Linked DNA regions of Astyanax mexicanus. The protein of the gene in region 1 interacts with the protein of each later gene in a pairwise test. Links are inferred from orthologs where the notes say so. Each region holds a gene or a part of one and is shown in the gene's direction. Other genes may lie near its edges.

Region 1 (7,695 bases):
GAACTGCTGCATCTGTGGAGTCACTTTCTAAAACAGAGGGGAAAAAATAAAATGCAACAATGAATTCTATGTGAAGAACTTTAATCACTTAATAATAGGTAACAGTATTTTACATGTATAAGACTTCAGACTACACAGAATACATTTTCAGCATAATTGCAATTGCTTGGCTGCACTGAAAATGAGGATCACCCTTAAACCACAGAAAGATTTATTAATTGATTTAAAGTGAAAGTTAACATTTCTCTATATTTGAAATAATGTGTTCATTCTGTGTACATCTTGAACAAAATGTTAAATATAGTTTACATGAAATTTAAACAACTATACTGCTAACACAAAAGGCATGCTTTATTGATATTGACTGAATAACAAGTTACACTGCTTCCAGCTCCTGTCAGCAGACACGCCCACATTCCAGACTGACAGCTGTAGGGAGTCTGACCAGTGCGAAAGGTGGATCACTGGGATACTTTTACTAACCAGTTAAACAAGCCAGACCACAATCCCAGTCCTCAATCTGGAACAGCAGGTCTCATGTGAATGCACCCAGTTCACTTAACAATGAATATATATATATGAATAATGATATAAACTCATCCTAAACCAATGCAGTAAATCTCTTTTCACAGAACTGATACTATAATCGGGGTTTTAACTGATTTAACTGAGAGATTTAACTGAGAGAGTACAATCATCCGATATTTTATGTTAGATATTAAATGAGCTTCAGAGAACTGAAACATGTGTTACTGTGATTATGTTGCTTGGGGTACAGTTCAGAACAGCTTGAGAAGGTTCTCAGGCCAGGTCCCCCCACAGCTAGCTGATGAAGATGAGGGTGATGATGGAGTGGAGGTGGGTGCAAGGTCAAAAGTCACAAAGTGAGGAGCACCTCGGAGGTAGGACTAGGGGGAGGAGCTCAGGAAATTGAGGCGTGGTCCATATCCCAAAATGTTGTTAATTCTTAACAACACTAATACTTGAGTGCCACTTCTGATGGCATCAGCAGTTACAGCAGCTTGTGTATAAATCACTGTGTCTCCAGGTTAAACTATTTTTCTGCTGGTTTTCTTGGTTGACTAAACAGATCACAAAGGTCATGACTCTCACCATCCTCCTAAATATCTCAGCTGACTGACTGCATCTGGTGTCAATGATTAATCATGTTCTTTTCCCAAACGCAGGTTTAGACAGAAACATGCTCTACTTGGTGCACTATGTAGTCAAGAGAGGGACAACTGAGACTCACTTTGGGCTGCGTTCAAAACCACATACTGCTACACTAGTTTAACAGCATTAGGGCCATTCCAGCGAATGGGTGCCATTCGCTTGTTGTTTAAAAACAAGTCCACTTATTCCTTATGTTTTCTCTCAAGAAAGTATTTATTTTAAAGAAATGTTTGACTGCATGTTCAAATAATAAAATAAATAATAACTCCTGTTAATGCACTCATTCCTGTTACTGGAACTCGCTCCTGTTAAAGTAACAGGAATGAGTTTTTAGCATAGAATTAGCAAAAACATGAAAAAGAGCTAAATGGCAGATAAGGGCACTGGGCACATTTAAGTACAATAAAATTAAATATACAGAAAAACAAATAATCTTAATTTTGGTCTTCCCATAGTCTTCAGAAGAACCAGCTGATGTCACTTCCTGTTGTAGATGTGACTTCCTGTTGTAGAATGTTCCTGATGTTTTAGATGATCAGGGTAATGTGGTACAGTAACAGGACTGAGTGAAACCCAGCGACACAAATAAAACGTGTATATTCAATATTGTGGATTTATTATATATTAAAAAAAAATAAAGTATAGATTGGATTTGGAGTCACACAACAATGCAAAAAAAAATACATCTCCGAAGGATTTTAATAATTATAGTTAGAAAGTGGGGACAGGTAACAAATGCTATTTTTTCAATATTCTAAGTAGTTTTTTGTTAATGTTTTTATTACATCTTACTTTGCAATTAGGTCAATGACTTGAACCGGTTGCTGACTGTGATCTTTCTCAGCTGCTTGTTGTCGCGAGCAGAAGTTTTTCGGACGCCGGAACAGTTGGTGCGCTTGCTGCAGTTTTTCTTGAGAGCTTTGCAGACGGAAGACTGGCTGATGCCGAGCTGCTCAGCAGTTTTAGTTTGGGTCAAGCCTTGTTGGCGAAGGGCTTGAATTTGAGCCACTATTCCGGTTGAGAGGTCGCGCTGCTTACCCATGATTGATTTTACAACTTAGAAATTCTACTCAACCCTGACTTTATACTGCACAGTGAACACTCTTCGGAGAAAACAAAAATTCGAGCATTTATTCTAATTCAATGAAACGCTTTCTCCATTATTCTAATTCAATAAAACAACAGTGTCACAGTTAAATGGCCTAAATGGGCCTTTTGGAAAGCTCAGCTGAGCAAATTGTTTTCCAGGTAACGAGTTCTGTGATTAGTCTAACGAGTAGGACAGGTGCGGTGAACACCTGATTTGCTTTCTGCACAAAAAATGCATTCAAAGAATTTCATGATTGCACTATTTCAAATTATTCTAATTCGTTGACCAGCACCTGTATTTTGTTATTCTGTGTGCACATTTATAAATGTAGTTTACTGGGGACAGAAATGGCACCCATTTGGTGGAATGGCTCATTACAGTCTATTTACAGTCTATTTTAGTCTGAAGACCAGCTTCTGCTGGTAGCTGGTTTTGGAAGGTCTAAGTTGGTCTTTGATTGATAAGGTTTTTGAACTGCTGGTCAGTCTGGTGAAAACACCCACTATAATTGGGAAGCTAGCTGGTTAACTAGCTTTTGGTCAGTATAGTAGTTACATGTTGCATTTGATCACACTTATTTGATAATGCTGGTTTACCAAGTGGTCTTAGTTGGCCATGCTGGTCATGGTGGTTGTATACTTTGGAAAGGCTGATCATAGACCAGTTAAATCATCATATCCCATCCTAGTCTTATTCTAAAAGGTTGAATCAGCTCAATCAGCTTGAGATCTGAGCCTGCTGTTTGTTTTCAGCAGGGAAGTGCACTATATAGTGTGCACACATGGTGACAGTTGAGACTCACCCATCTGTATTCAAAACCTGATACTAAGTTACTACAGTAGCTAAAGCATTCATATACACTAGAGGTGGGTAACCCAGGTCCAGAACATAAAAATCCAATCCATGGTTTTGTACCAACTGTGTGGGCAGCTCTGATGATTAAGCTCAGCTTCAGCTGAGCAGCACGGGCAGTTGGTACAAAACCCTGGGTTGGATTTTTACTCTCTGGAGCTGGGTTACCCACCGCCAATACAGCTCCTCCGCAGATGAACACACTACAGTTAAAGTGAGTGATCTTACCTGCCGAGCTGCTGTCAGGGTCCCGTCCACGTCGAACAGACAGAGGGTGGAGGTGTCTGTTTGCGGGGGGCTCATCTTTAGATGATAAAAGGATCAGTGATACTCAGAGAGAAGTGAAAGAAGTGAGAGAACAGACAGAACAGCAGAACTCAGCAGAGCAGGAAGCAGACACGTCCTCCACATCCGCGTCACCCACTACTACAGTTCGGCCGCGGAGGAAAGGGAGGGGCCTATTTTTAGTTTTTTTATATATATATTTTTACATATTTATTTATACATTACAAATGTTACAGAATCATGTTGGTGCTTAAAAACATTACAAAAATATAATAATACAGTAATGTACAAATCATAAACTAGATACCTTTCAAGCTCACAGGGGGCGGGGCCTGAGGAATGTATGAATGGGATTTCCCTTAACGCCAATCAAGGAGCCCGTTTATGAATAAAATCCCGCCCTTCAACAAAAAAGAGCCATACAGTTTACTAAGTACTAGACACAAACCTCATAAGTAATAATAATATTAATACTGAAAAAAAAGGGAGATTATGAAAAAATAATCATTATTATAAAAAAGATAAGAAAAGAATTAAAACAGATTTAAGATTAATCAAGTTATAAAAGCACTTAAATGTAGCATGTAGCAATTTTTTACAAAGATGTTTACATTTTTTTCTCAGTCCTTTTACCAAAATTCATGTAACATTTAAAAAGCATGTCCACTAATTCCTTTCATTTTCTTTTAAGAAAGTGTTTATTCTAAAGTAATTGTTGACTGCATGTTTAAATAATTAATATTGTTGACAAACAAATACTATATATGAACGCACATTCTATTTTTCTAAAATATGCAAAGTTAATTTATTTTAGCAAGAAGACCCAACCCTGAAACTGATCAAATTTATTATCATCGCAATTTATTAACCAAACAGAATTGGACAGGGTGTTTAACATTAACCAATATTTACACTAATAAATCACTAAACGAGAGGACTCTACTCACTCCTGTTACTGGCGCTCACTCTTGTTGCTGGCGCTCACTCTTGTTGCTGGCGCTCACTCCTGTTATTGTCACTCACTCCTGTTATTGTCACTCACTAAGGGTTCTGTATTGTATGCTCAATGTTGTCTGGTTCTGTGTTCTGCGTTCACATTTATGTAAAGCTGCTCTGTGACATCAGTTCTAAAAAGCGCTTTATAAATCAATTTGATTTGATCGAAATGCTCCAGAATCTAGTAGAAAGTCTTATATGAACAGCAGAGACAGTTACTCCTAAAGAAGCAGGATAAACTATTTTACGCTTAAATTAAATGAGGCGGTGTCCCATTATTTTTGTCCTCAGAGTGAACGCCGCGTCCCGCTCGTTAGGTGGCGGACTCGGCCCGCTGTAGGGGATTATCCGCTCCGGCTGAGCATAGAGGAAGAGCAGCAGCAGCTCGGAGCTGGAAAGGAGGGAGATTCAGATTCAGAGCTGAGCTTCAGACTTCAGGCGAGCTTATCTTTTAAAGATTTAAACTTTACACGGAGAAAAGCTGGAAAATGCACCGTGTGCGATTCGGGTCGTTTTTGACCTGTCTCTGCTTCTACCAGCTGATAGAAACGATGTGGAGTCTGCTGGCTAATTTGTTGTGGCTATAAAACATGTGTATTGGTGTTGGAATTATCCGGTCCACCTTAAATATTTTATCAGTTTGGTTCAGATATATGATAGTTCACTTATACGCACTGACGGGTCATTTAAGGTGGACTGGAACGTTACAGGAAAAATAACTAGCTAAAAGGCGAATATAGTTAGTTAACCTAGTTAGCTAACTAGTGTTTCTAATTCTGTTGCGTTTTGAATTCGCTAGCTAACTATTAAACTAGCGTAATTATTTATTAGCTAACGCGAAATGCCTTCAAGTATTTCAGTTTCTTTTCTGGAAACATTAGCTAGCTAACTAGCTAAGCTGTTTTCAAGATGAAGCAAGTCAGGCTTCAGTGCGCTAACTAACTAGCTAACATTGCGGTAAGTTAGCTAGCTAGCCTAGGTTAGCTAACTACAGCTCAAACTAAAAGTTTTTACCGCGTAAATTTAGTTAAAAGTTAGGGTTAAACCGCTGTTTTGCCTGAAGTAAGTAGTTTTAGCCATACAGCTAGAGTTAACTAGCTAAATAAACTAGGTAGGTTAGCTAGCTAATTAGTTACTCAGTTAGCAACTCCGTGTGAGGCCTGTGTAAGTAGCTTAACCCCTTAACAGGCCAAAATGTTTGTAAATTTTCTGCCTGATATTACGCACCTAAATCTTGAAGATTTATATTCAGGCATTACATAATAAGGTTTCATGTTTGATAATAAACGTTACTATAATTGCTAATTGTAGCTGTAATAGAAAGTATTTAAAAAAAGTAAATATGCAACTTTACAAATATAATGAATAACCATTATACATTTGGCACTTTGTCCTCCGAATCCTTGGTTTCGTTATGTTTGTCTAGTTTTTATGTCTGTTTTTAAACCTGCAGAATTTGGGTTGATTTCTGTTACTGATGTGGAAGTGTAGAGAAAAAAGGGCAGCTTCTCCAAATGTCCTGTAGGAGATTACAAAGCCCACACATTTTCAGAATGTAAATAACGTATTTTACTATTTGAAAAGGTGGGCCATTTGGGAAGCCCACCTGGGTCCCAGTAACACTTCAAACTCACCACGTAGCCCACATTCCACCCATATAAGCCCCACAGATGCATGCAGGCTGGGAAGCTACCAACAATTTCTTTTAAAGGCAAGACTGTGTCATTTACTGTGTGAGATAGGGGTTGCCTATATTGCAATAAAATATTATCACAGTGTTTGAGGGTATTTTTGCGATAACTATTGTGCTGCCTTGTGCCGATTGATCACCCTTTGGAGTAATAAGGAGAAAGAGCATCATCTACACACCCAGAGAGAGCAAGGCCAATAGGTAGCCGATGACAAGCTACATGAACAGGATTCGAACTGGCAATCTCCTGATCACAGTGGCAGCACCTTAGCCTGCTGGACCCCTCTGAGCCCAACATTTGAAATTAATTTTAAGAATATTCTACTGCAAAACAAAATATAAAAGTTTATGTAGTATGAATTAATTTCATAAATACAGTAGAAACTAAAAAAATATATAAACAGTCTATTTTGTAAACAGTAACGAATAATATGTGTAAAATAGTAATCTGGCAAAATTAAAAATATTTAAAAAAGTAATCGAACAACAATATTCAACAAAACTAATGTGTACAGCAAATAACACAGTAATAAATACAGAAAATAGATAAATAATAGAGGTGTGCCAAAAAATCGATTCACATAAGAATCTTGATTCTCATTTACTACGATTCAGAATCGATTTAAAATGTCCCAAAATCGATTCTGAGGGGCGGGTTTTAGACTGATTTTGGGCTGGGTATTTTTGTTGGACCTGGCAACCCTGGGGATAGCGCTTGTCCTTTCAAACGGAGATCTTCCAGACACACACAGAGCGTAGGTGTTTGAGAATCACCGGTAAGATGGCAGAACAAGCACTATATTACATTAGATTAACGTGTAGTTTCAATGTTTTATGGCAGAATGCTTCATAACAAGCATAAAAAAGATCGCTAGTAGTTAGTTTCAGTAACTGTTAGCTAGCTAACTAGCTAACTTTCCAGTTCCACCTTAAATAACGCTACAGGTGGCAGCGGGCTGCAGCATTTAAGGCGGAACGGAAAAATAACAATAAGCTAATCAGAGCTAATTTCAGCTCCTCATCACAGAGGAATTAAGGAATGGACCATATGAATTAATTTCTCCACCTCCTGCCCCCTTTCTGAAGAAATACAACGACCTTAAATTAACTAGTTAATCAGCAGCTGCTCCTGAACTTTAGCGCTCCACTGCTATCATCACATCAGCCCAGCAGCGTCACCTACACACCACCGCTAGTAGCCTGGTAATAAAGCAGTGTTATTTATTATTTATTTATTGTTCATTAACGTCATTGTGATATCCCAGTGATTTCTCTGTCACTGAGGACCCACATTCCTGCACATTTTATTGTTTTTGTAACACATTACCTGCTCCAGGACCAGTGTATATTATGGAGGGTTTTTTTTTTCAATAAGATTCATAAGCCAGAAGCAGAAATTTTTATAATTCAAATCGTTTTAAATCAAAAATCGATTTTGAATCGAATCGTGGCCCCCAAAATCGGAATCGAATCGAATCGTGAGATAGTAAACGATTCCCACCCCTAATAAATAAATACAAAATAGACTGGTTTCAATAAGTTTATTGTTTTATTGTTTTAGAAATGTCTGTGATAGTTTTGAACAATACAATATGGCACACCCTTCATG
Region 2 (7,223 bases), on another chromosome or scaffold:
GAAGAAAGTCATCACTGGTGTACTGAGTAACAGATGATGAACAGATGATAGACCAAACAAAACCACAGCAGTTAGTGAAACAGAAACATTGTGAATTATCTTAAGAAAGACCCTAAAACAACTTTTAGTGACATCAGCATCAACCTCCAAGTTTTTGTGCAGACTGAGACATCCCAGCACCTTCTGTCTGAACCAACCCATTTTTCTAATCAGCAAAAGAATTGGATCATGTGACTCTCAGGTGTGTTTTGTTGACCAGGTGTGTCCTGATACATTAATTATTCAAACAAAAAATAAACTTGGATGGAAAAAGCAGCTGTAAAACTGAGAAAACAAGTAAATCAATCAGAATTATTAGAGCACAACTATTGTTTATAGCCACAACAACAGTTTTGAAAGTCCTAAAGAAGAAAGTCGTCACTGGTGTACTAAGGAACAGACGTTGAACAGGTCAATCACAAAGGAAATCAGTTGATGAACAGTTGATGAAACAGAAACATTGTGAGTTCTCTTAAGAAAGACCCTAAAACAACTTTTAGTGACATCAGCATCAACCTCCAGAGTTTTCACTCATGCCCAGACTGAAACATACTCTGGTTAAAAGTATATAAGAACCTCAATTCAAGCTCTCTTTTAAATTTAACAAATCCATCATTATATTTATACATCTTACTCTGACCTTAAAAATCAAGTATCAACAAACTCAGTATTTTGTTTACATGACTAGTGGGACCATCAGACTACAACTACAGTGATCTGATTATGAATGGGTGTTGGATGATACAGTGTTACGCTCAGCAGATACATGTGTTGGCAGTGTGTTGAAGTGTTGGTGCCAGTCAGTAATCTGTGGCTAATTGTGTGAGTTTGTGGAGATTAGAGCTTTAGTTGACGTGTGATTATCAGGGTAGTATTGGGGGGTTTGATTATCATGGGGGTGTTGGGGGTTTTGATTATCAGGGGGTTGTTGGGGGTGTGATTATCAGGGTGTTGGGTGTGTGTGTTGGACCCCGTCAGTAATTGGTCAGTAATCCGTGGCTAATCGTACGAGTTTGTGTTGATTAGAGATTTAGTTGAGGTGTGATTATCAGGGTTTCAGGGGGTGTAATTATCAGGATGCTAGGGGTGTGATTATCAGGATGTTGGGGGTGATTGTCAGGGTTTTGGAGAGTGTGATTATCAGAGTGTTGGGGGTGTGATTATCAGGGTTTTGGGGTTGTAGACAGCAGTGTGCTCGGATTGAAGCCGGGTGTAATTAGTCTGATTAAACGGGTTAGTGCTCTGTCTGATCTGCCGGAGAGATAATCTACATTCCGGTTCTGGTTTTCCCGCTGGGCCCGATGGGACTGACCCGTTCCTGTAGGCCCAGGAGAACCCGATCCGAGTGCTGACAGAGGAGGACCATCCCATTTAATACTCTTCAGACTGTGAACAAAACCCACAGGACCTCATTACATCCCATCTGTCACTGATCCAGTTCTTCATCACGCCGGTTCTGATCTCATTAGTCTTATTAGTTACAACCGGAAGGAGTCTAATCCGGGTCCAGGATCTGCAGCTGTACCCGAATTACACAGAAGCTCAATCCGGATGGGATTAGTATTTTAGGGGGTTCTGGGTAATTTTCTCTTTTATGGGTTTTTTATCCTGTGATTTTATTCCCGTCCAGAACTATCATGTAAGTGTTTTTCTCAGACGTCCTCTGAGAAAATTACAGGCTGAATTATCTACTGTTTTTCTCTGAACTCCGTGCTCCTCCGGTAATTTTAGTCCCGTCCGGACGCACATCTCTGAGTTTCGTCTCCTCGCCTTTAATAAAATAGATATTTGTCCACTGCCGCGCACCGTAATTACATGCACCACGGTTTCCACGGAGAGCCACTTTAAAAACACAACAGCGAGTGGAATTGGAGGAGCTACTGAACTCCATGATGTCATGTGACCGAGAAAAAAGACTTAAACTCACTGATCCTCCTGTTTTTACAATTTCAGTCCGGATGCAGGAGTTTTATCACTGATAGAATATTGGAAACTATCACACTGACCTGGTAAAAACACAATCATCACAATATTAAAAACAATAAAACATGCTTCATAAACCCGTATGAAATTTGTTTTCCAATTAATCTGATTCCACAAAACAACGTTTTCCTTAATTCTATAGTAAAGATACATTAGAGCAAATTTAACTAGTTTTAAATTATTGATAATATGATTTGCGTATTTTGCCAATCTAATTAAAATATTTGTCTAATTAATAATTAATAAATGAAGGTGGTGGATGCAGCATGCTGTACTATATTTTGTAGAAGGTCTGTACTATGCTCCAGTATTCTGTAAAATAAATGCTTAGTTTAAGTATAGATATCTTTAAACTTTTAACTGAAGTCAGATTTTGGGCCATTAAGATATAATCCATGTACCAAATACAGCTCTGAAAAAAATAAGAGAGCACTTAAAAATGATGAGTTTCTTTGATTTTATCAAATTGAAAACCTCTGGAATATAATCAAGAGGAAGATGGATGATCACAAACCATCAAACCACCAAACTGAACTGCTTGAATTTTTGCACCAGGAGTAAAGCAGCATGAAGTTATCCAAAAGCAGTGTGTAAGACTGGTGGAGGAGAACATGATGCCAAGATGAATAAAAAAAGACCCTGATTAAAAACCAGGATTATTCCACAAATATTGATTATTTCTGAACTCTTAAAACTTTATGAATATGAACTTGTTTTCTTTGCATTATTTGAGGTCTGAAAGTTCTGCATCTTTTTTGTTATTTCAGTCATTTCTCATTTTCTGTAAATAAATGCTCTAAATGAGAATATTTTTATTTGGAATTTGGGAGAAATGTTGTCTGTAGTTTATAGAATAAAACAACAATGTTCATTTTACTCAAACATAAACATATAAATAGCAAAATTAGAGAAACTGATTTAGAAATGCTTTCTCTACATTTTTTTAGAGCTGTATATATTTACTTTTACCAGTAACAAACATTAATGTCTTAACTTGTGTGAATTAATAATTATTTAAAACATTCTGTTGTAATTACTGTTATACTTATTTTAACTTGTTACCAAATTATCTTGGTAATTACTTTTATTTCTTTACTGTACTTAAGTACTACAAAACTGTATCTGTACTCTACTGGATTATTATTTTTTCCTCCTACTTTCTCTTTGACTTCACTACATAATTTGGATGAGTTTAATACTTTTAGTCTGATATATTGTTTATGAGCTGCATTGTTTCTTTTTACAATTAAAAAAATTGAGAATTTTTGGGACAATATATCGTTCGCATTTTTTTAAATCGTGACAGGCCTATTAATATATTTACATTCTACTAAATAAAATACATTCATTTACAATGGTGCATATATGCAGCTGAAACACTAGGGAGGAGCCTAGAGCATCCCAAATTATATTACCAACATTAACATTGTAATATTATAAAATTATAGTCATTATGGCTTTTAGAAAAATTTTATTCTTAGCTTTTGTTCTTAATGGCTTTATTATTTTCCCTTTTGTATTACTTTTACTTTTATACTTTAAGTAGTTTTTTTTAATCCAGCACTTTTTAAAAACACTTTTACTTAAAGCTTAAAAAGCTTGAGTGGTTTTCTTAAAACTAAAAAAAACATATGTTAAACAGGGAACAGCCTAGTGCATCCCAAATTATATAACATTATAGTCATTATATCTTTTAGAAAAATGTTGAAAAGGGTTTTGGGAAGGGGGACCTGGTGAAAAAATAACTTTTAAAAATACTTAATTGTGGATAAAACATACTGAGAAGTATGCTGTAAATATACTAACAGATTTATGTACTTACTTAAAATATATTAAAAGCACATTAATATAATTATTTCATTATATTAATCAACATATGTATCAACATAATGAGTTGATACTTAAAACTGAAAGTAATTTTATACTCTAGTATCTATACTTCTGCCTACAGTGGAGTAATGAATGGAGATACTTCTGATACTTTTGATACTGAAGGGGTTACTCCTTGCAGATTTAGGGTGGGGGTGTGGTGGGGGGGTGCATGCATGTCTAAGAAGTGGGCGTGGTTTATGAGGGGGGTGTGGAAATAGGATCAGGTCGGTTTTGGGGTGAGGATGGGGGTTGGGGGGGTGATGGGGGTGCGCGCGCCTCGCCCCGTGCACCCCATATATAGCGATATGAACTGTCAAATGTCCGCAAACAGCGAATCACCGGCCGGCTCGAGCCCAAACCTCGTATCAGGTGTCCCTGCAGGAACCGGGGAGCGCGCGCCGACACGCATATTTGACAGCTCGAGGTCCAGAGTGAGCTCGCACTCCAGCTCAGCGCTCAGCTCGGAACACTCCTCTCCTCTCCCGAACCCAGCCTGACCCGCCCGGACCAGCCTGACCCAGTCCCAGTCCCAGTCCAGCACCAACACCACCACCAGCAGCCATGGATGCCATCAAGAAGAAGATGCAGATGCTGAAGCTCGACAAGGAGAATGCCTTGGACCGGGCTGAGCAGGCAGAGGGAGACAAGAAGGCAGCGGAGGACAGGAGCAAACAGGTCGGAGCCCGCCGCTCACGATACTCTCCATACTCAACATACTCTCACTCACTCATAGAGCAGCGGATACAGGATTAACAACAGCTTATACAAGTTTAAAAGAAGAGATACAGAGTTAACAAAAAAGATACAAAGTTAAAAAGAACAGATACAGGGTTAATAACAGAACAGATACATGGTTAACAGCAAAAGATACAATGTTAACAACAGAATAATCAATTTAAAAGAACAGATAAAGAGTTAACGGCAGCAGATACAGGGATAATAACAGCAGAAGATGATATACAATGATAGCAAAAGAAAAAAACAAGTTTAAAAGATACAAAGTTAATGACAGAAGATACAGGGTTAACAGAAGAAGATACAATGTTAACAACAGAAGATTCTAACAGTTAGATACAGTTAACAACCATAACGAAACAAAAGGTTTGGAGGACAGGTTTGATTTGTATTCAGGAAAATATTTATTTTAATATGAAGTTTAAGAAGTCCCAATTTCATTATTTGTTTACTGTTATTCATTTTATTTTTATAGTTGCAGATTTACTTACATTTTGTAAAAATAATTTCTATTACAATTACAATTAGAATGTGTACTAACGTGTATTATCAAACATTAAACAGTTTTATGTGATGCTTGAAAAGAAATCTTTAAGATTTAGGTGTGTAATATCAGGCAGAAAATTGACAAAAATGCTGGCCTGTTGAGGGGTTAACAACAGAAGAAACAGGTTGTCTTCAGCAGATACAGAGTTAAAAACAGAAGATACAATGTTGACAGAAGATAAAACAGAAGATGCAACAGAAGATACAGGGTTAATAGTAGAAGATACAGGGTTAACAGAGGCACAGTGGAGCTTCTACAGCTTCTTCTTGCTGTACAAACTGTGGATGAAACACTTTCTTCTAAAATGACAGAACCTTAAGCTGTTCTTCCACTGTTTCAACTCAAAATCAAGTTAGAATTAAACTGTTGAATTGGTTCCTCAACTAACATATTGCCAATACATATATGCATATAGTGACTCAGCACACACGATGAAATGATGTGCAATTGATTGATTATTATTGTTATTGTTTATTGATGAGCTCACAGCTGAAAAGTACAGTAAAAGAACGAGTGTAACAAGCAGACCCTGTCTAAAAGGAAAATATCAAATCAGTGTGATCTAAATTTATAATTTTACTTTTAATTATTTGAGCATTTATTATTGGTTGTATCCAATAGTTATGTGCATTGTTTTTAAAGAAGAGCATGATACAATACACAGGAGTTCAAGAGTTCAATCCAGATCCAGACAGTGAACAGGATTTTACTGGAGCACGACTACCCCTCTTCTGTACTGTCTGGACCTGGTTCTGACCCGGTTCTGACCCGGTCATGCATGCTCAGTGTGTAATAATGTAATAAAGATGGTTATGTCATGTAATTTATTGTGTAAAACTGTGTTATAATACAGTATCTGAGCTTTTTACTGATCCGAGCTTTCTTCTTTCTTGGTTCTGTCCCTGTTCTCCCTCGGTTCTGTTCTGGTTCTGTATGGACCCTCAGCTGGAGGATGATCTGGTGGCTCTGCAGAAGAAGCTGAAGGCCACTGAGGATGAGCTGGACAAATACTCAGAGGCTCTGAAGGATGCCCAGGAGAAGCTGGAGCTGGCAGAGAAGAAAGCCACTGATGTGAGTGCTCACAAATCATGGCGTCCAAAAACACAACAAAACACCCCGCGGTCGTATAGCACCCTCCCCGCGTCCATTAATCTGATTATTACTGATTTATTATTAAATTACAGCTGATTATTATAACACACCTGTACACATCTGTAAACATTACTACATCTGTAAGGCCTGATTGCAAAAACTACAGCTTCATAGGCCCTAGAATAGAGCCTTGAGGGACGCCACAAGCTACATTAAACACAACAATTACCAATTAATTCCCTATACTTATAAATATGTGCATTAGAATATATATTTTCTAATTCAAATAAATTATAGCAATAAAGTAAACTATAATGTTTCAGGGTAAATTATAGTCAAAAGTATTTGTACACTTAAACACAAAGAGCATTTTATTATATTTAGTTGCATTTAGTGCTGACATATTCACTACATGTCCAAATATTTGTGGACACCCCTCCCTATAATTTTTTATGCTGCATTCAGCTTCTTCAATTTAGTTCCACCCAGAGCTGCTGACACAGACGTGCAAATGAACACAAACAGCTTTAGTCTAGTTACTGTAGAATAGAAGAACCGCCAATAGAATAGGAACACTCTCTGCAGCAGATCAATAATCATGAACCTATTGGTTCCATGTTATCTGGAGAGTAGAGACAGTTACTCCAACAAAAGCAGGATCAACTCTTTTAAATATCTTTAATTTTAGAAGAAAATGGCTGGCGTCCCAATACTTTAGTCCATATATTGTATATTATCTTGTAGAAATTAAACCAAAATAAAATAACACAATACATTAGATGACTAATATATATATATATATATATATATATATATATATATATATATATATATATATATATATATATATATATATATATATATATATATATATATTATAATCATATAGAAACAAACAAATTCTGTTTCTATAAATGGAATATATATATTTTTTATTTAGTCTTTTATTAAAATA
Region 3 (7,548 bases), on another chromosome or scaffold:
ATTTGGGGTGCCCAACCTTTGCCCCTGTTTATAGAACAATGTCAATTGAAATAATAATTTGAATGATAATATGTTTTACACATGGTAACCATAAAAATATTGTGCAAAGCTGGAGCCACTTAAAATGTAAACAAAAACAGAATGCAATCTCATAGACCCACATTTTTGGGAGAGCAGTTGTGGGAAATGTCCGATTTTTGTCTGGTGGAGAATTCTTGATTTTTTGTTTTAAAATATACCAAATGTTTTCTATTGGTGAAGTGTCTGGACAGCAGATCTAAGAGCCTTTTCTTCTATGAAGCATGCTGTTGTGACTTTGTAGAGATGTAGGCTTTTGAACTGTGTGCTGATATATCAACCTGGATGGTCCCTAAACTCTTGAGTCCGCAGGACATGACATCCTTGGTTTTCAAAAAAAAAAAAAAAAAAAAAGATTTTGATTTATCTGATGACAGAGCAGCTTTTAATTTGGCCCAGAATAGATGGTGACATTTTTGAATGGTGTCTCTTTTTTTGCATGATTCAGTTTGTGTTTACAGACAGTGATTACTGTAAAGCGTTTCTGAGCCCATGTAGTTTTTTCTAGTTTGGAATCACGCCTGTTGTTTTGCTTTTTTAAGGGTGCAAAGATCATGAGCATCTAAACCTTAACGTCTGCCTTGTTCCTTGCACACATGGAGTTCTCCAGATTCTCTAAATCTTTTGATGATATTATGTAGATGGTGGGATATCCAAAGTCAGTTTTAGCAAAATATTCAGCCTGGCCTGAAATAGTCTTGTTGTTCCCCTGTCATGTGAGTTACTTGCGAATAACTAACTCATCTAGCTTGTTTTTTTCCAGTCTTCTGTTGCCCAAATCTCAAGTTCAAATTCCTCGTTTCTCACTGTCAACATCTTATATATTATGTGCTCTATTGGGAATAAAATGTGGGTCTATGAAGTTTGCACATCACTGCGTTCAGTTCTATTAACTTTAATAATTTTTTAATTTTTTATTTTTTCTATTAACTTTAATTTTACACAGCATCCAATTTTTTTTTGGAACGGTGGTTGTAGGTTTAATTTTTATTTGTATAGTTACTTATTTACCATTTGAGCATATTCATAATGTATGAGAACAGATTGTTTAAAGGTTCATTATATTTTAGCGCAAGATATGCTCAGGTGATGGTACTATAACAAAGAGGATAAGATATAAACAAACATAAACAAACATAAACAAAATGTCCCTTAACATTTATGTTTTTGTCTTTAATGCTGCCTGGGGCTGAAGGATATGGCAAAAATCTATATCACAATACATTTCTTAATTTTCATAGGGTTCAATTCTATCATCAATATTAACAATATAAAAGCCACCACCTTAATCTAGGTGATCATGCACTGATTAAGATATTGTAAGAAAATTAATATAAGAGTATTTAAAAACATTTTTTATAATACATAGTATTTATAATATTTTGACACTCAGACAAAATGCATCAGCAGAGGCAGAATCTGCTATTTAAATGCTACACTGTACATTGATTATTTTTAATGTTTGCTGCACATCAACCAGCTAAACAGAATCCGGAAATTTCGACAAATGTCGACACGATACAATATAGATATATTGTCCAGCTCTAAAGTTGCCTGACAATATTAACAGACGTAAAAGCTGCTGACAGGGGATCATGTTAGCTCGACAGATACACACCTCTGCTAGCTCATCCTGTGGCTGGCCCGCGCAGTGGTGCCTTATCTTTAGGACACCAGAAGCATAACGCTGAGACCTGAAAAACAAACTGCCCACAGCTCGTGTATTCATTTTTAGTTAATCCTATTCCATATCTACTAAATATCCGTCTATTATCAGACCTTACACACACAGGGTGACCTTAGCTACACACTACTCTCGTGTCGGCACAGCAGAGCGCGCAGCCACAATATGAGGGGAGAAAAAAGGTACATTACCCAACTTTCAAAGTAAAAGTCACCCCAAATTCGTAGCTCACTGCGCCAGTGATATATACATCCAAGAAATAAAAATAATAATAATAAAAAAATAAACCTCATGTAAGCAAATATGTTTTTGGTTAAACCTCACAATACTTAAAAGTAGATACACCCCCACATTTTACACTACTTCTTTAAAAGCTGAAGATGATGAATTTATCACTCTAGTGTTCATTTACCATCACCTAATGTTTACTTATTTATTTACATTTTATTTCCAATAATTTTGTTTAATTGTATTCAGTGAACGTTTACACAATTATTTTTTGCCTAAAAATGTCCGCTTTTATGTATTTACGTAATGTTTTTTAGCACAATTATATATTAATAATTTCACTTTAAAAATAACAATATTATATGTATTATATATGGTATTATTAATAATAATAATAATAATAATAATAATAATAATAATAATAATAATAATAATAATAAATGTATTATTCTGTCTCTCAATTAAAGACTTTTTTTTTATTTGTGCCCGACTTCACACTTCATCTCCGGGAGGAGGTTCCGCTCTTTTCCTGTTGTGATTGAACTGGACGACCGAGACGTTTCACTGAATTTAAAATACGATAACTCTTAACACCTGAACATATTAAGTCTCCATATTGTAAAAATATAAATGTATATATTATTACCACCACGTTAGGAAGCTAAAAGACTGTAGTGACCAAACAGTGGAGTAGCTATAGACTTTTAGTTAGCTAGCTAGCTACCCAAGGTTGTATTGAAGTCTGAGAGAAATCAACAATTAAAAAAAAAGTAAAAACGAGACATAAAATCAGAAGATATAAATGTCTAATTGTCGTTAAACAGTGGAATACATTCTGAATACAGCGATGGACTAAACTCGGGCTCGCTGTCTGTTAGCTACAGCGCTATCTTCTATCCGGGTGTTTTTGTCCCCGCTGGTCATTGGTGGGAGTTAGCCGGCTGGTCCCGTTGGGCTTGTTTCTCTCACACACTGATGTCCCGATGGCTGTGCGCTGGTTATGCAGGTGGGTAGTTTGCTAAAGCTGAATTATTGAGATGTAACGTTAGTTATTAAGTGAGGGGTCTGTTGTTTACAGGACTGGCTGGTTTTATACACAGGCTGGTCTGTAGCTTGTTGTGTGCTAATTTGAGCTCCTCATCGCCTAACCTTGTTCTTGTTGTGTGTATCAGGGAGAGAGAGACACACAAAGGATTGAGCATCTCTCAGTCCAAGCGGATTATTTTATATAAGGTCGAGGCTACCGTTAGCTAGCTAGTCCTTCAAGCTAGCTGCAGTAAACAGACAGATTTTTAATCCTATATTTATAGGTGTGGTTAACTGAGTAATGTAGGTTAACGTTTAGCTATCTTGGCTGTGTACTTGCATCAAGGTGTTCTGTCAAATACAGCTTCCCGAAGCTGTGTAATACTGGGCGGTTCTGCACATGCGCTGAAACACATTTGTTTACGTGTTTTTCGTGATAATTCTGTTTTACTAAGGCGGATTATACAATGTGAGTTTTCTGTTATTGTTTGTTTGAGAGTTTTAAAGTGTAACCAGAAGTCAAATAAAATCAACTTCTTATCACATCAATTAGCTGAGCTAGTTAGCTTAGGTTAGCTAACCCAGCTAACTACATTAAATTTAAACTGATAACAGTTATAACCTAGGATACAACACCTAGGTAAATAAATTAAATCTAATATAACACATGATACATAACCTATTAGTTAGATTAAATTTAAACTAATATAACCTAGCTCCATTACATTTTTAAACGGATAACCTAGGATATATAACCTAGCTACATTAAATTAAAACTGATATAAACTAGGATACATAACCTATTAGCTAACTTACATTACATTTAAATTATATAACCTAGGATAGGTAACCTAGCTACATTAAATGAAGTCTGATATAACCTAGGATACACAACCTATTAGCTACATTAAATTAAAACTGATATAACCTAGGATAGATAACCTAGCTACATTAAATTTAAGTTGATATAACCTAGGCTAGATAACCTAGCTACATAAAATGTAAACTGATATAACCTAGGATAGATAACCTAGCTAATGTTACATTACATTTAAACTGATATAACACATATGGCCCAAATCACTATAACTAGCTAGCTAACATAAGTAACGTTAACCCATCTATACATTTTTAGATGTAATGGTGTTTTTTTTAATCCGACCTACCAGCTGTATTATGTAACTAGCTAGCTAGGCAGCTTTACCTTGAGATAGATATACACACCATGGTAACTAACCCAGTTAGGTTAGCTAAAATGCTTTGACAAGATATCTATAGCTAACTAGCTAGCACTCAGACCTAAAGCTAGTGACTGACATTCATGTGTATAAAAGATTAAACCATCTAACCAAGGTAAATAGTCTTCTGGAAGAACCAGATTATGATGTTTTGAAGACCAAAAAGGGCGGGGCTTTAGAGGGCTGGAAACTGGTGGTATCTTGTTCTGAAGTGTGTCACGTTTTGAGGGCAATAGCGTGAGTTATATTAATATATAGTCGTGTCTACTGTAGATACATCTGTATGTGTGTGTGTGTGTGTGTGTGTGTGTGTGTGTGTGTGTGTGTGTGTGTGTGTGTGGAGTGTGTAATATCCCAGCAGCTCCAGCAGCAGCAGCTCCCTCCTGCTCTCTGAATTGGTTCCCCCGGTCTGTCTATCTGCGCCTGGGCTGCGTGGGGTGGGATGGGATGGGAGGGGCGCCAATGCAGCTTAGCTCGACTAAACGCAAATCTACAGCCTAAAAAGCCCCCGAATACAGAGCCGCTGCACTGTACACACTCAGCGTGCCATCGATCGCTGAAGTACTGAAGTCTCTCAAGGCGTCCAGCAGTTTAGCAGCACGGCTTATGGAAACGAGCCTCTTCAGACATAATGTGCGCGAACGTCTTCGGCGTGTTGAAGAGGTGAGAAATAGGCTTTTCTGCGCAAGGAGGAGGTGGTGGTGGAGAGGAGGTAATGCTGGTGTTGGTGTGTGGAGCCACGGACTCGAGCGCTCGTGCTTATAATTTCTCGTTTTATTGCCTATTACCGGCAAAACGTGGCGTTTCTGCTAGCTGTAATAAATGAGCGTGCGCTATGCTCAGGGCTGGCTCTTTTGGTGGGCGTAGGTAGTTGGGTAGGTATGTAGCTCGCTGGCTAACAGTGCTGAGGTGCATGAATGCGGATCAGCCTCTCTGTCTTTCTCCACGTGTGAACCAAAAAGATAAGGAAGACGTTATGCAAATAGTGGCCTGAAGTGCTGACAGTATTTTAATTCTCTCAACTAGGTGGCTAGTTAACTAGCCTTTTCTTTATCAACATCTGAGTTACTGACCTAGTCTTCCCCATCCTCATGCATCTGTTAGCTAACGAGCTAGGTTAGATGGACTGTTCCAGAAAGGGGGATCCTTTACATTACCTCAGCTAGAGACAGGGTGAAATCATTGACACACAGCCACACTGGCAGTAAATGGTCACCAAAGATGTTCGTTCACAGACCCTTAATGTCACAGTTTCAGACACTTTAATTGGCTTGTGTACCAGATGTTCACCACATTCTCAGCAGATTCCCCAGATGTTTGGTCCTGATGTATCCAGCATCATGTTCTTTCCTGCGCTGACTAATAGGTTTAGGCATGGATGGCATTTGGGCGCCCTCGCCCCACCCTAACCCATAATCCAGAGCTTTCGTGTTGTGCCCAGGCTCACTAGGGACTTCATAATCAGAATCCTGGAGCAGACCCATGACAGCAAGCGTAATCAGGGCATCTTCTACTAAACAAGTGAACGAGGACAGCTGTTTAGGCAGCAGCAGGTTGAGCAGCCGTTCCTGACCACATTCAGGTCCGGCACACACACTTAAAAATTGATGTTCTATTTCACACCTCAAATCAAATCTGGCTGAAGGTGTTGGTATGTGTCTTCACAGCTGCCATCTGTTTTCTTTCACATTCTCATGCAAATAGGTTAACCCCTTAAAATATTTGTCCTGTATATTGGCTACAGGTGTAGGTGATACAAAACCCTTTTTTCTGCAGTAAAATAAGTTATTCATATTCTGAAATCTCCTAAAGGACACTTGGAGAAGCTGCCTGTTCACCCTCTACTCCACTTAATAATTCCAGATTAGTAACAGGAATCAACCCAAATTCTGTAAAAACTGTACAAACATAACGAAAGGAAAGGACATTAACTATTTGATTGGTATTCAGGAAAATTAAGTTTAAAATTTAAAATACGATTTTAAAATTAAGTTCAAGGAAGATTTTCTGATTTTATTTATTATATTTTGACATCAGCAGATTTACTTAATTTTTTAAATATATTTTCTATTACAATTACAATTATGATTTTCAGTCATGTTCCTTATCAAACATTAAAGCTTTTTATTTAATGCTTGAATTAAAAATGTTAGTGTAATGTCAGGCAGACCATTGACAAAAATCCTGGCCTGTTAAGGTGTTAATAATGTAAAAGCACAGACAGCCATAAACAATGGCAAATATTCATAGCATTTATGGACACACAGAAGCTATTATAACTATAACAGCTAGCACATTCAAACAGAGCTACATCTACTGGACATCCCATAAAGGGATTTTAAAACAGTCGTGCTGTTTCAGGTTAGTTCAAGTCCACCGAAAATACCATGTAAGTAAATCCAGAGGTGAATGTATTTATGCCCCCACACAGTGAATGTTCGTGTGTATGTCTGCTTTATCCTTTTTCACGGTCACTGCCAAAAGCACAGCGAATGACCGTGGGATGAGCAGCATTCTTCCACATGAAGGAATTTCTCTTCACCTGGTTATATAAGCATATAAGACAAGTAGACTATTAACCCCTAAAGGGCCACTCCACTGAAAGAAAATATTCCCAGTTCTGCTGCATATCAAAAGAGAATGATTGAATTTGTGATTGAATCATATGGAGGTACATTACTTTTTAAATATTATGGTGTAAGGCAAATTCATGAGCAAACTTCCAAGTACCACCTACTGTGGCTAATGTGTGTGGTCTGTCCATATCTGTACCAGTAATTGGCCAATTGCATATTGTTGATGGTCAATGCAGTATGCCTGCTGATACAGCTCTGAGGAAATAGCAGGAGTGCGAGACAATGTAATGAACTACAGTGTCTACATGGCATCCTCGTGAACCCTAGGTTAATTAGACTGGAAATTATTGAGTTCCACAGGGTTCAACTGTAGGGCCCATGAAACCGATGTTAATAATTAATTAGTACTGTAGTTATGAGAGTAAAGAAAGACGTGTGGGCTTACACACAGGGTGTATCAATTTCAAAGTCCAAGTCCAAAATAATGAAAAATACAGATTAATTCTCTATAAATTTGTGTACAACCTTGGAATGCTTTGCCATACCACTGGTCGTACCACCAGAACCGCTGAAATATTGTATATTGTCACTGTTGTGCTGTTAACACTTGTATCTCCAAAACAGCAACCGTTTTAACAGAAGAAAGTGAAAAAAAACTTGTCAGTTTAAATTAGGTGATTTCAGGCATTTTATAGCATTTCTATTGGTCTGTTTCTCA
Region 4 (7,720 bases), on another chromosome or scaffold:
ATTTCACTACCTGTGTTCAATGGTTAGCACTGTTAGATACATTACTTTATTGTTATATATACTACCATATTCTTTGCACTTTAAGGTGTATCTAAAATACTTACATTTTTCCAAAAATCCGGTGCACCTTATGAATGTAACCGGTCAGGCTGTAAGGAGCAGTAAAGCCACTCCACTAAAGTGCAGCTTTATACAGGAGTTTCAGTGAAGTTTCTGCAGTTCCGAGGCTGCAGCAGCATTAAAAAAAAAGCAGCAGCAGCGGTAAAAAAAAAAAAGCACTAGCTCTTTTACCGGCCGTTCAGAGGTGAGTATTATCTGCCTGTAGCCTGCTGCTAACCATGGCTAGCACTGCAGAAGCAGCATTAGCATTAGCCGCTAAAAGCAAAGTACCTAAATTTTCGCCTTTCAGAGGTGAGTATATTGGACTCTAGTCTGTGTTTACCGTGTTAAAACAAGCTACATGGGATTTTTAACTGCTAGCTAATATCGCTCTGGTTTACCGGAACACTTGGGGTTACTCAGTGTAGCTCTGTCTGGTGGCATTAGCCGCTAACCGTGGCTAGCGCTAGCGGTTAGCTGCTAATGCTAATGTTGCTGCACCCAGTTTTAGTGGAAATCTAAGCTTACTGTAAATAAATGTTAGCACTTTACTCACCCAAATAAACAGTTTTTAGGAGAGAAATCTGTGTAGATTAATATCTAGTGCTCGTTTGACTTTAAAAGAAAATAGATTTTTTTTTAAGATTTAGAGTTTTGTTTAGTTAGCTTTACAGGTCTCGCCACCCAGTAGTCTCGACACCTACACATTACGGTACATCTCAGGAGCTTCTATGACATCCCATTCTAAATACATGGGCATTAATATGAAGCTGGTTACTCATAGGCAGCTATAAAAGGTTTCACACTTCTATAAAGGCTTTATAAAATATTTTAAGAAGAAAATAAGCATTTTAATTTACCCTAAAGGTGTTGGATGGGGTTAAAGTCGGGACTCTTCTACACAAAACTCCCCTTTGCCCCCGTTGCCTTTATGGGCTTTGCTTTGTGCACTGGGGCACAGTCATGCTGGAACAGAAAAGGGCTGAGCCCCAAATGCTAACAAAAATACTTTATAATACAGTTGTCTAAAATCTCTTGTTATTGTAAAGTATTCAGATTTACATTCACTGAAACTAAGGGGTTTAAACAAACCTGTGAAAAAAAAAAACACTCCAAAAGAATTATCCCCCCTCCATCAAACTTTACAAGTTTAGTTTAGTGCAGACAGACATTTTCTGGCACATTTTCTTTGTCAAACTCAGACTCATGTACTCATTCACACTACATTTAGCAGTTAGCAAAAGTGTGAAAATGTATTTTGCCCTTTTTATGAGGACACACAGTGTCATTGATACAAAGCACCACAGGCTATTTGCATGCTAGTGAAGTGGAGAAAGATTTTTTATTATTAAATATCAGTGAGTTAATTACAGGTTTATGAGGGTCTTTAAATCTAAGAACATTAATTTATTAACGTTGAGATGTTGAGTGATGCAGTCAGTAGTACTGGCCCACCTGTGAGTAGGCACTGAAGTCGTCTACTGTTTAGTTCCAGGTTGCAGACTAATTCCAGGACAGACCTACTGTTCCTAAACTGTTTCACAAACTCACTCTCTCTCTCTCTCTCTCTCTCTCTCTCTCTCTCTCTCTCTCTCTCTCTCTCTCTCTCTCTCTCTCTCTCTCTCACACACACACACACACACACACACACAAATGTATAGTTAGAGAGATTGAAAGAGAGACCATTGAAGTTAAACCACATATAAAGTAATCCTTCAATGAGTCTTTATATTTGAACCTCTGGCAAACTGAATATATTGATACACCAACCACATTTAACAGATTCAATCTCAAACTGAGCAGCCTGAGGGGGATGCTAGGAAAAAAAGAGATACGTTTGAAACCTAGATGTTTCACTCTAGCCGGTGACTAATCCACAGGACAATGTCAGCCAAGAGACGAGTATTAATATCTACAACACACACACACACACACAAAACAGTCCTGGGACCGTCCCTGTTTAACTGACCATTGCTCTCTTTCTCTTGCTCTCTCTCTCCCCTCTCTTTCTCCCTTACAGTCACTGACTTACACATAAACACACGTATACTTTCCTACATCTCACAGGAGAAGTGTGCATTAAAGAGAAAATGGACAGAATTGAAATGAAAGAAAAAGCAGCGAGGTGCAGGAGGGGGGCAACTTTCTAAATATACTTTTAATAATAAAAACACTTTGGAAAGTGGTAGAGCATAAAATAGCATTAAATAAAAAACAATACTATTCATAAAAATGTTTTAAAATATTTTTTATGCTGCAAATAAAAAAATAGCATCTTCCGGGGTGTAATGTTTCAGCATGTCATCATGTTCTACACTTTTATGAAACTATAATTGTGTAATTATTATCATGTTTGTAATAATTTTTTGACACATCTGATGTAAAACTCTTAGATCAAAGACCTGAACTGAATTTTCAGTAGGGGGTCCTCCTTGTATTGTTAAAGTCTATCCTGGGCTTAACCTTTGACCTAAAACCAGGTCTGTGTCTGCCCCATCCTCCAACCCTAAAAATAAACAGGTCACCTGTGGCCATTTTGAGGCTCATTCCATGCATTCAGACTAAGCACAGCCCATTATTTTATATTAAATAGATCTTTTTTATTAAGTGTAACAGAGAAAAGTCTCAATGAGGCGTATTGTCACATCTTTGCTTTTATAATGGTAGCGCTCACAGTCCTAAATAAAATATTAAAAAAAGAAAAATAATGTAATGAATCTTTATGAAAAACGCAAATGTTGGTTTGATGATTAATTATCTTAACAAAAACAGACTTAGTGATATTGCAACAAAAATAATGCATGCATCCTTCCTAGAACCCTAGGCTTGCTGTTAAGATTTAATTAGTGTTGTCAGTAGATAAAAATTGATCATATTAATCATAAAAGAATTCTGTGATTAATCACAATTAATCTAACTTTTTTCTCAGATCTCAGATTTTAATAATGGGTATTTAAATGTGAAATAATACATTTAAAACCTATTATTAAGTATTATTAGTGCAAATTCCTTAATAAATACTTGTATTAATCACAACAATATTAAATGGATTAAATAATATATTTTTTAATGCTGGTACTTAACTGTATTTTGGGGAGGGTACAGTAATTAAACTGTAGTGTGGTTTACACCTGGTGGACTAAGATCCCTTACTGTATTATAATATATCAGGGTCATTTTGATGCTTTGTAAACTAGAATATTGTAATATGCTGAGTTACTAAGTTTAACTGAGAGTTTTACTGGAGAAAATAAATGCTAGTGTAGCTCCATATTCCACACTCAACGGCCTCACCAGGCTCTGTCAATTTTGTCACATGATTAATTTGTGCTAATAACAAATGAATGCGTTTCAAAATTAATTGCATGCGTTAAGAGTTTAATGTTGACAGCCCTAGTTTTAATCAGTCAATATTGAATGATGATCAACAGCATCCAAAACACTGTTATTGTTCTGTTCTCTGGGCCAAAGCTCCTTTACAATGAAACTGTTTTTTTTTTTTTTTAGCTTTGATTAATACAAAGCTTCCAGGGTTGATTATATTCATATGCTATTGTCTAGAAAATGGGTTTCATTAGTTCAGTGTTCCTCAGTGACCTTCCTAGGTCGTTGGATCTGAATCCATTAAGTAGGAAGTAGTAGAACATTGTATTTGCAGCATGCTGCGAGATATAATGAAAAAATCTGCATGTATTGAGTGGCAAAGTCACGTCAACATGGTTCCGAATCTTAAAAGAACATTTCCTATTTCTGTCACCTTGTAGAATCCATTCCACAAAGAACTGAGGATGTTGTGAAAGCAACATGAGGCCATGCTAAAACGATATTCTCAGTATAGTGTTCCTTAATGAATGTTGGTACTACTGCTAGTGAAATTCTCAAATGATACAGTATACTATACTGCATGCAGTCAAACAGATAAGAGCCGAGGCTCATAGTGAAGAAAAAAAAAAGCTGTAAAGTGATCAGTGTGCCGATTGACAGGCCATAAGTGTACTGCACGGCTGGTGGGGGGGGGGGGGGGGGGAGGGGTGGGGGGGGTGGAGGGGGGGTGGTGGTTATGGCGTCACACGTACACACCTGTGCCTGTCACAAATGCAAGGGCTTTGTCTTATTATAGCCGAAGCCCTGCTCTGTCCATCATCACCCTCTGTCCTTTTCTTTGTCTAGAGTGTCTATAGTAGCAGTTAGCCTTTAATTATAATGGCTTTGTTATTTCCTTACCTTTAAAAACTAAGGACTAAAAACTTAGAACACCCCAAAAAACTGTCCAAAGAAAGTGACCAAGCTGAATAGCAAAAAAAAGACAATTTCAGCTTCAAGGGCTACAAGGACAGAGACAAAGATGACCTCGAATTTGCTCTTTTAACCTCAAAAACCAAACACTAATACTTGCAAATGATCCAACTTTCAGAAACAGAAAAGCTGTAAACAATAAGTCTTTAAAACACCAAACATTAATATGAACTGCCTGATCAGGTTTATGCCTCTATTAGGTGAGTAACTGAGAGATAAAGCTGGGTGGGGCAATGCCAGGGGGTGTGGCCTAGCTAAATTAGGAGGAGCAATATGTCCCCCCTGATATAAAGACCCTTCCCCTATCTCTTGCTGAGTTTGGGCTCCCATTCCTTCACTCCGTCCCTCCCTCCCTCTTTCTTTTTCTCCCTGTCGCTTTCACCCTGCAAGGTCTTTGAGCTCCGTCCAGTTCTTCCTCCGCTCGCCTCCATCGCTCATCGTTCTTCTTCAGTTTCTTCTCGTACCGTGAGCAACACACACCAAAGCCAAGATGGAGGCCATCAAGAAGAAGATGATGATGCTGAAGCTGGATAAGGAGAATGCTCTGGACCAGGCAGAGCAGGCTGAGACCGACAGGAAAGGAGCTGAGGACAGAAGCAAACAGGTGAGATAAAGAGAGAAGTAGAGAGAGAGAGATAAGGAGGAGGACCTTTGGTGAGATGCCTCAAGCATAATGTATCTAGATAGGCTTAAATAGGACATGTTTAGAGTGTTTCTGCAAAGGTAGCAGTCAGAGATGGCTTTCTTGCAAACATTGCAAATGTCTACCTGGTCATTTTGGGTTCTAAATTCACCTACAACTCCATTAAGTGGGGACTAAAGCAGGGGCCCACAACTCCAGTCCTGGAGGGCTTGTCTCCAACAATGTTTATTTGCTCTATTTAAACACACCACTTCAACTCATCAATTAATAACTAGGTAGAGAAAGCAGTAAAGTAGGGCAACTACCAAACTTTGCTGGAGATAGGCCTTTCAGAACTGGAGTGCAACCTGTGGAAGCAACCTGATGCCTTGAAACACGTCAAATATGAGATTATATTTTAGAACATATGCAAGTTGCTGGCTGTTGCTGAAGGAAAATGAACATTGCAAAGTTAAACTGTTCAGTTTAGCTTCTAATTCACCTAAAACTACACTGAGGGGGCATTCAAGACCAAGCTAGTTGGTGGGATTAATGCATTAAAGCAGGGGTCCACAACTACCTTTTGTCCTTGTGGGTCAGTCTTTAGCAAAACTGCGTAGATTATCTACTCAAAAACACCTCAGTTATTAATTACCAGGCAAAGTACGGCAATTACAAACTGCATTGAGTGGGTAGCAATACCAAGCAGGTGGGACTAATTTGCACAACTCCAGTTCTGGAAGGATGGTCTCCAGGCGGAGTTGGTTGTTTGAGTAGGGCAACTACCAAGCATTGCTTAAAACCATGCTTCCAGGACTGGAGCTTTGCACCCCTGCTTGGAAGCCACTTGAATTTAGAAGCTGTGGAAGGCGTAGAAGCAACCAGATGCCGAAGACTGCATAAAGCCTTGGTGTAACTCTGCCCTAAGCCAGCATCATAAATTCCATAGGCCGTGTTAAGACCCATCTAGTCATCTTGGGCAAGAGGGCATCTGACAAGTGACAAGTGTAGGCCTTTAAATCAAAGTTGGAGCCTGCTGAGAAGCCAGCGACAACCCAAAACCAACACGGAAAGTGGAGACGGCCACCAGCGCATGCTACAAGTAACTGTAGACAAGACGATGAAAGCCAGGGACATCCATCCACCGAATGTTGTGATGTGCTTGTCGAAGGATCTGGAGGAAGGAGAGACCCCTTGGATGGGGACTGGAAAGGGACAACCCTGAGACAAAGATATTTAGAGCACATAGTGTTGAGATAAAGCTATGAAGGGGCTGCCCTGTGGCTTTCAGGCTTTTTGTAGGGTGCAAAGTTTGGATGGTTAAGGAGGTGCAGAGGGGAGGATAAAACACTGTGTATATTGGGATGGATAGATATAGTGTGGATTGGGGTGTCATGATATCACAGTGCTAACATTTCACACTTTTTCCACATTTGCTCTTTCTCCAACCCAACCCCCACCCCCAAAGCATGAAGATGAGCTGATTCAGATGCAGAAGAAGCTGAAAGCGACTGAGGATGAGCTGGATAAGTACTCCGAGGCCCTGAAGGACGCACAGGAGAAACTGGAGATCGCTGAGAAGAAGGCCGCTGATGTAAGTGCTAACAATCCCTCAAAGAACACAAGTGTCGTCCCCACAGACATACACCAAACTGGCCACCAGTCCGTCTTCCAAATTCCATTCACCCTGGCCCCCCATTCCTCTCATTCTCTTCCCTCTATTCATCTACAGCTGCCTCTGTCTCTTCTCCCACTTTTGACCATGATGTCAATGAGACATGATGCCCCCACCCCAAAATTCACCCTCAGTCTGTCTGTCTGTATCTGTACAAGCCTCTGTACCCTCTCCCCCCTCTCCCTCTTCCTTTCTCTGTCTCTGTTCTGTCCATCATTTTTCCGTTGCCAGGCCGAGAGTGCCACAGAGGTGACACAGAGTCTTATTTAGTGCCATTGCTGGGAGTGTGTATGTGTGTGTGTGTGTGCTCCAGGGGGATGGCCGTCACCACAAGGCCACTGTGTGGACTGTTGGTTTAGCTCCAGGGTTATAAATCAGAGCGTCTAAAAGGATCTGAAGAATCTGTTCACCCCAGAACAGACAGTAGCACAGGGACTGCCATGCTGAGATAACAGCACCTTAAACATACTACATCCTAATGAAAATTATTTTTCTCCTGCATATTTGAACAGGTCTTAATGTAAAGTTCTTGCGTTGGTTTTACTTTTCTAGAAAAAAACAAAAAGTCATACAATACTGTATTTTACTATATGTTAATAATCTAGACTTTATAGTGAGGTCATATCAATTTACAAAGGTTTACAAAGGCTTTTCACACTTGCATCCTCACAACAACAGATCTTAAAACAATAATCTATTTTAAAAAATCCAAGGTAGAATTCTTCTTTATGTTGTTATCATCTTTTTTATATGATACAACAAACAAAACAACAAAAAAAAAGCACCAGTATTTTTTTTTTATTAATCCGATTTTTATTTATTAACAACAATATGGGCCAGAGATCATTTTGGTTCTTTTTAAGCCAGAAATCAAAAACACAAAAAACATATTTCCAGTACCTTCTGTAAAGCAAAGTGTCAGAAGAAAGTGTTATTGTCTTTTTTAATGATTCATAAATTCTTACCAAATTATGTAATGTAATAGTTTATAGCTATATTAAAAAGTAAGAAACAACTGAAAAACAGAT

The links.
Region 2: the proteins of mad1l1 (region 1) and tropomyosin alpha-1 chain interact in binary tests that used the Homo sapiens proteins (3 or more experiments, as listed by UniProt). The two-hybrid records come from large-scale screens. The link is inferred for Astyanax mexicanus from reciprocal best matches to the Homo sapiens genes MAD1L1 and TPM1.
Region 3: the proteins of mad1l1 (region 1) and bag5 interact in binary tests that used the Homo sapiens proteins (3 or more experiments, as listed by UniProt). The two-hybrid records come from large-scale screens. The link is inferred for Astyanax mexicanus from reciprocal best matches to the Homo sapiens genes MAD1L1 and BAG5.
Region 4: the proteins of mad1l1 (region 1) and tpm3 interact in binary tests that used the Homo sapiens proteins (3 or more experiments, as listed by UniProt). The two-hybrid records come from large-scale screens. The link is inferred for Astyanax mexicanus from reciprocal best matches to the Homo sapiens genes MAD1L1 and TPM3.

Annotation. Positions count from the first base shown.
Region 1 is NC_064428.1:4,219,309-4,227,003, forward strand, and holds the start of mad1l1 (mitotic spindle assembly checkpoint protein MAD1), read left to right. Parts: upstream 1-4,686; 5' UTR 4,687-4,834; intron 4,835-7,695. Other genes in the region: pmm2 (phosphomannomutase 2), read right to left, coding at 1-27, 3,344-3,418. UniProt on the Homo sapiens protein: Component of the spindle-assembly checkpoint that prevents the onset of anaphase until all chromosomes are properly aligned at the metaphase plate.
Region 2 is NW_026040053.1:189,392-196,614, reverse strand, and holds the start of tropomyosin alpha-1 chain, read left to right. Parts: upstream 1-4,220; 5' UTR 4,221-4,455; coding exon 4,456-4,569; intron 4,570-6,121; coding exon 6,122-6,247; intron 6,248-7,223. UniProt on the Homo sapiens protein: Binds to actin filaments in muscle and non-muscle cells. Plays a central role, in association with the troponin complex, in the calcium dependent regulation of vertebrate striated muscle contraction.
Region 3 is NC_064414.1:30,076,023-30,083,570, forward strand, and holds the start of bag5 (BAG family molecular chaperone regulator 5), read left to right. Parts: upstream 1-4,547; 5' UTR 4,548-4,885; coding exon 4,886-4,917; intron 4,918-7,548. Other genes in the region: cytochrome c oxidase assembly factor 8, read right to left, coding at 1,697-1,807. UniProt on the Homo sapiens protein: Co-chaperone for HSP/HSP70 proteins. It functions as a nucleotide-exchange factor promoting the release of ADP from HSP70, thereby activating HSP70-mediated protein refolding.
Region 4 is NC_064410.1:30,817,067-30,824,786, reverse strand, and holds the start of tpm3 (tropomyosin alpha-3 chain), read left to right. Parts: upstream 1-4,699; 5' UTR 4,700-4,885; coding exon 4,886-4,999; intron 5,000-6,485; coding exon 6,486-6,611; intron 6,612-7,720. UniProt on the Homo sapiens protein: Binds to actin filaments in muscle and non-muscle cells. Plays a central role, in association with the troponin complex, in the calcium dependent regulation of vertebrate striated muscle contraction.